Linked DNA regions of Cricetulus griseus. The protein of the gene in region 1 purifies or fractionates together with the protein of each later gene. This does not show direct contact. Links are inferred from orthologs where the notes say so. Each region holds a gene or a part of one and is shown in the gene's direction. Other genes may lie near its edges.

Region 1 (4,092 bases):
CTAACTATAACCCAGCTCTCACTGTGCTTTAACCAAGAATAGTTTGAAGAAACAGTTAAGAAAACACATTTTTAAAAAGTGGTGTTGTAACTTCATTCTTTTAAAAGAAAGCCCCATAGCTTAAGTTGGAATGTTTTGTATTTGGAAAGAAAGAAAAGCTAACTTTTAACTTTAAAGTAGTCTAATGCCAAAGATATGCATATACACATTACATATTTATGTTTTTAGTTGTCATTTTACCCATGCATATTATCTAAATGTGTCAAAGGTAATGTTAAGAGATAAGATGCCAGTAAGTTCTGCATGGGTTTGCTAATAAATGCAGTAGAACAGTTTCTTTGATTCTGAGTGGATGATTTATAGTAATGCATGCTGTGGTCTGTTTTTATTATGTTCATCTCTGAGGTGGTATTTTACTGCCTTCTTTGCTGATGTTTAGGTAGCATTATCTATGATTATGTCCAACAGGAAAGTCTGGAAGTGCTGCACTGCATCCGCATTGCACATTCACAAGTGGGCTCCGTTTCATGGGCCAACAACACTGGTGAAATCACTGCTTGGTTTGACAGCCATGACTATTTCAGTTTCATAGGGAAACTTTTTTACACGTTTCCTCTATTAGTAAAGGGAATAGGACTTAAGGTGTTAGACATTCTGCGTAAGCACTATATTGAGCTGAGTCCCCAGTTCCTTAGGACTTTGATTTCTAAAACTATGTATCTTTTTTTTTTTTTTAAGGCACCATCATGCTTGATTATCCAGATGCCTCGGTTTGGAAAAGACTTTAAGCTATTTAAAAAAATTTTTCCTTCCCTGGAATTAAATATAACAGATTTGCTTGAAGACAGTAAGTATACAGCCCTTTGTTTTATTCTGGTTTTTAGAAATAGTTGGCCTGGACTTTTCATTAGTTATAGATACAGTACTTCTGACAAGTAATTCAGTATCGGAAGAGCTTGGGCATATTAAGCCAATAATTTGAGTGCTGAGAATTTATTCTGAAAAAAGTAAAAGTAAAAATAAATATTTTAAATACAAAATCACTAATTATCTGACAAGAAATTAGAGACAATAAATGTTAATAAGAGGGAAGTGGTTAATTGGATTATATATCCAAACAATGGACCTACTATCATTAAGACCCAGGGGTTTGAGGGCAACACATATGAAAACAGTGGTGTGTGGTAGTTAGTGGAAGGGAAAGCATTAAGAGGCTGGATGAGAGGTGCTTGAGATACACGTGTACTTGGGTACACACAGTTATATAAATACTAGGACATAAAACTGTTAGAGAAAGTTCATAATGGTAGAGATTGTCACTGACTTAAGACCATATGTGCTATTGGTTTTCTCATATATATATATATATATATATATATATATATTATATATATATATATATATATATATTATATCTTTGGACATTTCATGACCAGAGGAACAATTCTAGAATAGGTTATTTGGGGGGAAAAAAGTCCTGAAAAATATTACAAATACAAGAAAATCCAAGTGAAATTTTAAGAGGGTTAGAGAGGGCTAGACTCCCCCCAGCATTCTTGTTTTCAAAGGATAGCTTTTATTTTTAATAACAGAATATCTTCTAAAAAGGCTTCTTCCTTCCCTCTCTGCATCCGGTAGCTCCCAGGCAATGCCGCATCTGTGGAGGACTTGCAATGTATGAGTGTAGAGAGTGCTATGATGACCCCGACATCTCAGCAGGGAAGATAAAGCAGTTCTGTAAGACCTGCAGCACTCAGGTAACCCTCACTCACTGGTGCATGTGCTCTGCAGCAGTCAGCTGCTGATGGTCCAGTACATTGCAGGGTTTGAAAGCCTTTCAGAATCTAAGTGTACTTTAAACATTCACAATAATTATTATTGCTCATGTCTCATCTGCTGGTGTGTGTGTGTGTGTGTGTGTGTGTGTGTGTGTGTGTGTGTAGTACTTGATTGTGTTTGTAAGAGATGTGGTCAGTGAAAGTGATTAGAGTCTATCCCCTTGAAATACAGCATTAGCTCATGTGTGGCATTTTCTTAATGGTCCATTTTAGGTTCACCTCCATCCCAGGAGGTTGAATCATACATATCATCCAGTATCACTTCCCAAAGACTTGCCTGACTGGGACTGGAGACATGGCTGCATCCCCTGTCAGAAGATGGAGTTATTTGCTGTTCTCTGCATAGAAACGAGCCACTATGTTGCTTTTGTGAAGTATGGGAAGGATGACTCTGCCTGGCTCTTCTTTGACAGCATGGCTGATCGAGATGGTATTTAAAACTTTTCTTTTAGGGTGAGATGCTTCCTAGTGAGCTATCGAGAGCACTTGTTTAGAGTAGTAGAGTATTTTTTGAGAGAATTCTTTGAAGGATATCATAGTGTTACAGACTTTAATTTTCAAAGAGTATTAATAAATCTGTACTCAGACTAAGTAACAATAATGTTGTGACATCTTGGCCCTTATACAGACTTGTTAAAGAGTCTTGTCCATAATCTCAGACTTGGTAGGTAGAGGATTGTGAATTAGAGGTCAATTTGTGTTACATAATGAGAACCTGTTTCTGTTTGCTCCACCTCAAAAGAAAAAACACAACAAAACATAGACTCCTAAAATTCTTCTTTTAGAGCTGATTTTACCATCTACTTCCTTTCCTTTTTATATACAGTATAGTAGCCATTTTATTGAGGATGTAAATGCTAAGCTCTGTGGGATACTTTGGTCATGGAAATCATGCCTGTTTTTTTTGATGTTTAAAGCTAAAGTTTAAGATGTGAAGGTTGCATAGTTTGTATTTAACTCCATCTTCCTGATCTCATGTATTCCATTTCAGGAAGAAACCTTTACTCAGTGAGCTATTTTTAGGAAGCTTAGTTATTACTTAGTATACACTTGAGTGTCAGAATCTCAAGGGGTTTTGGTAGTAAGGTACTTGCCACAGTACCCCACATACCACCTTTTATCTACAGTTATTTTCCCAAGCCCTAGTCCCCCAGGGCTTCTGATGTGGTTCTCCAATAACCAGAGACACCTAGTGGCAGCTTCTTCTTTTTTTTTAAGATTTATTTATTTATTATGTATACAGTGTTCTGCCTACATGTAGGACTGCAGGTCAGAGAGGGCACAAATCTCATTATAGATGGCTGTGAGCCACCATGTGGTTGCTGGGAATTGAACTCAGGACCTCTGGAAGAGCAGGCAGTGCTCTTATCCTCTGGGCCATCTCTACTGGCAGCTTCTTGACCAACAGCTCTCTATCTCTCCTCAGCTCTCAGATGCCTGAGGTTACAGCCTACCCCTCCTGTGCATGTGCTTCATCCATTTAGCATTAGCAGCATACCATTTAGGAAAGCACTTGGGAAAGCAAATCCATTATCAGATGATCATGCATATTCTGATGATCAGTATGTAAACCAACAGTGCTAGAGGTGTGCAAGTATGTCCTTAAAACTCAGGGAAACAGTAGTCTGTAATTACTAGATTTGCTCAAAATTGGATAGTCTTGTGGAAAAGTGTCAGGCTGCTAATATCTGAGATGGACATAAAAGTATGAAGGGCTGAGGTTTTGTGTGTACACATGGGTAGCAGCCTGCAAATAAGGGCTGCATCTTTTCCTAAATACTTGTCCTTTTACCAATTTTATTCTCTTTTGTCTGCTGAACCCTCTCAGAAACCAAAAAAGGACATTGTAATTCTAGAGACAGAAAGTCAAACAAAGCCCCTGCCCCCCTCAGTTCTGGGAATCAGTCTTCACTAAATTCTAGGATAATAAAATTGTTCTTGTGGGACAGGGTGCCAAGAGGACTTAGAAGTTTGCTGCTCACAAAGAGAGTTCTCCTCTCTCCGTAGGTGGTCAGAATGGTTTCAACATTCCACAAGTGACACCCTGCCCGGAAGTGGGAGAGTACTTGAAGATGTCTCTGGAGGACCTGCACTCTTTGGATTCCAGACGGATTCAAGGCTGTGCACGTAGACTTCTTTGCGATGCATACATGTGCATGTACCAGAGTCCAACCATGAGCTTGTACAAGTAACCAGGTCATCTGAAATGGGCAGAGACCGAGCACAAAGCTTAGCGCTGTGTTTTCCTCCAGCT
Region 2 (4,822 bases), about 36 Mb from region 1:
CCACCACAAAACAATGGAAATGTACCATTACAACTCTGAAGGCCTTGAATCTAAAATCACCAGGGCTGCACTTCCTATAAAAACACTAGTGGAGGCTCCTTCCTGCTTCCACCAGCTCCTAGATAGAGCCTTTCAGAATTCCTTGGCTTGGAGCTGTATCCCATCTTTGGCTCCGTATTCATAGAGCTTATATTCATAGGGCCTTGCACATAGTAGGCAATGCTCTACCTCTGAGCCCCAGCCCCAAAGGCTTCTTCATTTTGCTGCTAACTCCCTCATTATACAGGGCTGTATACATTATACAGGGATCCAGGAATATCTTAAAACAAGACAGGCATGGAAACATTATGATTTGGCCAACAATGTCTCTGTGAGTTGAACCAATCTCAAAAGCCAACCACTGTTCCCTTTGGATTGGTGTGGGCCCACAGCAAAAAGCTCGGTGATAGCCCCAGGATGCCTTAGGAGAGCTGCATACTTAGTTTCACTATTTTAAGTCGGTCAAATCTGAGGGATTCTCTGGGTGTTGGTGGCACACTCTTTAATCCCAGCACTTGGGAGGCAGAGGCAGGCAGATCTCTGTGAGTTCGAGGCCAGCCTGGTCTCCAGAGTGAGTGCCAGAATAGGCTCCAAAGCTACACAGAGAAACCCTGTCTCGAAAAAAAAAAAAAAATCAGAGGGATTCTACAAGAAGGCAAATACCTTTCCCATGCTGGGTTCTATTTCATCAAACTTAGCCTAGGTCTAGTGACCTGGAGACATGAGAGGTACAGCCTGTCCAGGAAGGGACCTAACAGAAGATACCGCTTGCATGAAGCTTAGGTCTCAGGATTAAGGGGAAGGTGCCTTAGGTTCAGAATGAAGCACATGAAACCACAAGACAGGGGACAGTTCCCCTGAATTCACAACCCAGGTCAGTTTTGAATGACTGCAGGTCACGCACTTAAGGAAACACCTTGTCCAGGAGGGTGAGCACCTTCATCCTACCTCAGATACCCACTAACCGACTTTTCTTACGGACTGGGAAACAAAGCCTGCAGAGTCAGACTCTGACGCCACCCATTTTGTTTTGTTATTATTTATGGTGTATGAGCGTTTTGCCTGCATGTATGTGCATCAAATGTGTGCCAGATTCAGAGGCCAGAAGTGGGTGTTGGGAACTAGAGTTACAGACGGTTGTGAACTGCCATGTAAGTTGCTCTTACCCACAGAGCAATCCTTCACCCCACCCGTTTTAAATTGCATTTAAAGAAATATATATTTGAGCTCCTTTGGTCCACGATCTGCCAGCCAAGTCAGCTCCGCCTCGCGGGTATTTGACTATTCTTCGGGTTGGCTTAAGAAGCCAGAGTTCAGCCTGATCTTCAACCCGATGAGGCTTTACTAGGTATATCTCAGTGACCTGTATTATACACCCACTGTGCACTTCCACTCCCTGGCTCGGAACCAGGCGATTAACGACCACAGACCAGTTGAAGGACTAGGAACTTGGAGACTGGCGAATTTCAGAGAACCTCAAAAGGTGAGCCGCCAAGGCAGGCCACGCCCACACCGCCACCCTCCCACTTAGCCGAAAGGGTGGCACCCGATTCCAGCCTCGCCCCCCGACGTCACGACCAAGGCCAAGGGGCGGGCTTGACTCTCTGCGGAAGCGAGAGGCTAGACCCAGGCCCAAGCAGAGCTCTCTGGGACCGCTGGGGACTAGCAGGTAGCACCGCCGCCCGCGGGGTCTACAGTATGGTCGGTTAGTGGGAAAGGGGCTCTGGTTGCAAGAGGCTCAGCTGGCGGGAGCGGGTATCCACTGGAGGAGGGTGCTGTTGATACAAGGGCGCTCAGCAAGTCGGGCTGAAGGTCTCCTGGGGAGGGGAAGCTAAAGATACCCTGGTCACCCAACTGTCGGCGTCCACATCTCCTGGATGAAGGGGACAATAGGTTCTGAGATTCGCTAAGCCGCCAAGGTTTGTTTCCAGGTTGGAGGGGGCCCTGGGGTTGCTGGGTGCGGGCTCGGGAGTCGCACAGCTGAGGCGACATGGTCTCTAGTTTGACACCTCGTCCCGCGCTCGGTCAGGATGGGCAGCAGCTCGCTGTCAGAGGACTATCGCCAGTGCCTGGAGCGCGAGCTGCGGCGGGGCCGCGCGGGCGTCTGCGGCGACCCCTCGCTGCGCGCGGTGCTTTGGCAAATTCTGGTGGAGGACTTTGACCTGCACGGGGCGCTACAGGACGACGCGCTGGCGCTGTTCACTGACGGCCTGTGGGGCCGTGCGGACCTGGGGCCTGCCCTACGCGATCTGGCCCGCGCATTCGAACTCCTGGAGCTGGCCGCTGTGCACCTGTACCTGCTGCCCTGGAGAAAGGAATTCACCACCATCAAGGTATCATTTGGCGATGTTCCTCCACTTCCTTCCTTTGTCCGGGCTGTTGGGGGCTGCCAGTCCTCTCCAGGGAAGAGTTCCATGCTGAGGGGCCGTGGGCGTGTTGGGATGCTTGCCTACCAGGGAGTCAATTCACCTAAAACTTACATTGCTGTCCTCAAAGTAGTCTCACTGCCCTAGTTGCTATGGAAATTCTAGGATAGACGTGGGTGGGAAGGTGAGGGAGGTACTTGATGTCCTGTGGTCATCCTAACTCCAAGATGTGGACTGATCCTATCTGTAAGAGGAGGCCACTAAGATTAAGAAGAGAACAGCCGGCCGGGGACTGGGGAGTATGGACCTTGGTCCTGCCTGGGTCCAGGTTAGGCGGCCAGGTCCAGGAATGGCCTGGTCCTTTGGTCAGCTGATGGACCACCAAGGGGGGGGGGCAGGGCCGCTCTGAGCTAATTTTGAGTGGGAAGGCAATGACGTTAGTGAGCACGTGGGCGAGGTAAACCTCCACTGGTTGCCATAGCAGCTGCTCCCCCTCCACACCCTTTTCTCTCCCTGCCCCACCAGCTTGCTGCTCCCCTGAAGCAACTGAGATCTTGGAATTTTCATTCATTCTTTCAGGCTAGAGGCCAGCCTACCCGCCCAGAGGACAAAGACTGTTAAGGTTGGCCTTGAAATAGGCTGGTCCTGGGAGTGTTGGGAAGGAGCTGGTGCAGGTAGTCTCCTAGTTGTGGGGTTTTAGCTAAGTTACCTCTACACCCTCTATGCCCCTTTCTCCTAAGAGAATAGTCAAGGTACAAAGACCTAAGAAGGGTGTTGTGACCAGAGCTCCTCATGTACCCACGACCCCTTCTTAAAGGGTCTATGCAGGGAAGTACTCTAAGGATGCCTGGAGTGGTAGACTTCCACATTTGGAAAAGATCCATAATTACCTTGGTTCCCTATGTAGCTTTGATCTAGAAAGCACATCCCCATCTGTTAGTGTGGTCCTCTCACCAGCTGCACATCAGACACAGCAAGGGACAGTGAGAGCAAAATGCCTGGTCCGATAGTGACAGATCACCAGGATTAATGGAGGGAGGGGTGCACAACAGAAAGGACAGAGTATTCCTATAGGCCGAGGCAGGAGGATGTTGAGTTTAGGGTCAAGCTGTTTCAAAATAAAAGAGGGTGGTACCCACACCTTTAATCCCAACACTTGGGAGGCAGAGAAGTAGGTGGCTCTCTGAATTCCAGGACAGCCAGGGCTACACAGAGAAACCCTATCTTGATAAATCATGGTGGGGGGTGGGCATAAAAGGCTAGGGATATGGCTCAGTGGCTCAGTACTTGCTTAGTATACACAAGGCTTCTCCCTTAGAGAGAAAAAAGATCCAAGCTCACTCCAGCAGATAAAAACAGTCTCTGGGGGTGAACACAAACTTCAGAAGTGAACCAAGGTCAAGGCTGCACTGAGTCCACACAGGTTACATCCAAGAAGCTCTATGGAAGAGCATTCCTGACCAGGACCCTTCCTTGCAGACCTTCTCAGGGGGCTATGTGCATGTGCTGAAGGGCGTACTCTCTGAGGAGCTCCTGACTCGAAGCTTCCAGAAGATGGGCTACGTGCGCAGGGACAACCACCGCCTAATGGTGACCACCCCACCCCCTGCTTGCCAGCTGGTTCAGGTGGCCCTAGGCTGCTTTGCTCTTCGGCTGGAGTGTGAGATCCTAAGTGAGGTGCTAACTCAGCTGGGCACAAGTGTGTTACCAGCTGAGGAGCTGCTCCGAGCACGACGGGCTAGCGGGGATGTTGCCTCCTGTGTGGCTTGGCTGCAGCAGCGGCTGGCCCAGGATGAAGAGCCACCACCACTACCTCCCCGGGGCACACCTGCTGCTTATGGGGCCCCAGTGGACCTCTATCAGGACCTGCAGGAGGATGAGAGCTCAGAAGCCAGTCTGTATGGTGAGCCCTCCCCAGGGCTGGACTCACCCCCTGTAGACCTGGCATATAGGCCACCACTCTGGGAACAGAGTGCCAAACTATGGGGTTCTGGGGGCCAGCCCTGGGAACCCCAAGCTGATGATCTGCACCGGGCCAGCAGCCCACCATATGGGGCTCTGGAAGAGGAACTGGAGCCAGAACCCTCTGCTTTCTCCTTCCTCTCTCTACGCCGTGAGCTGAGTCGTTCAGGAGACTTAGCTACCCCTGAAGTCCCTGGGAGCCCTGGGCAGGCCAGCCCCCGACACAGGCAGGCAGAAGGAGCACCAACCTCAGCCTATGGGCCTGTTGTGGAGCCTCTGGGCTACCAGGCACACAGCTGCTTGAGCCCTGGTAACCTGCCTACCCTCTGCTGTGACACTTGCCGCCAGTTACACGCTACCCACTGCACTGCCCTATCAGCCTGCCGCCCAACTCATTCACTGCGCATACTTCTTGGTGACAACCAGAGACGCCTGTGGCTGCAACGACCACAGGT

What was found.
Region 2: the proteins of Cyld (region 1) and Spata2l purify together in Homo sapiens (affinity purification with mass spectrometry; 3 studies listed by BioGRID and IntAct, with this or other methods). This does not show direct contact. The link is inferred for Cricetulus griseus from reciprocal best matches to the Homo sapiens genes CYLD and SPATA2L.

Annotation. Positions count from the first base shown.
Region 1 is NC_048596.1:164,369,584-164,373,675, forward strand, and holds part of Cyld (ubiquitin carboxyl-terminal hydrolase CYLD), read left to right. Parts: intron 1-738; coding exon 739-847; intron 848-1,638; coding exon 1,639-1,757; intron 1,758-2,051; coding exon 2,052-2,268; intron 2,269-3,845; coding exon 3,846-4,030; 3' UTR 4,031-4,092. UniProt on the Homo sapiens protein: Deubiquitinase that specifically cleaves 'Lys-63'- and linear 'Met-1'-linked polyubiquitin chains and is involved in NF-kappa-B activation and TNF-alpha-induced necroptosis.
Region 2 is NC_048596.1:199,898,310-199,903,131, reverse strand, and holds the start of Spata2l (spermatogenesis-associated protein 2-like protein), read left to right. Parts: upstream 1-1,619; 5' UTR 1,620-1,708; exon of another isoform or gene 1,709-1,958; intron 1,959-2,068; 5' UTR 2,069-2,069; coding exon 2,070-2,372; intron 2,373-3,884; coding exon 3,885-4,822.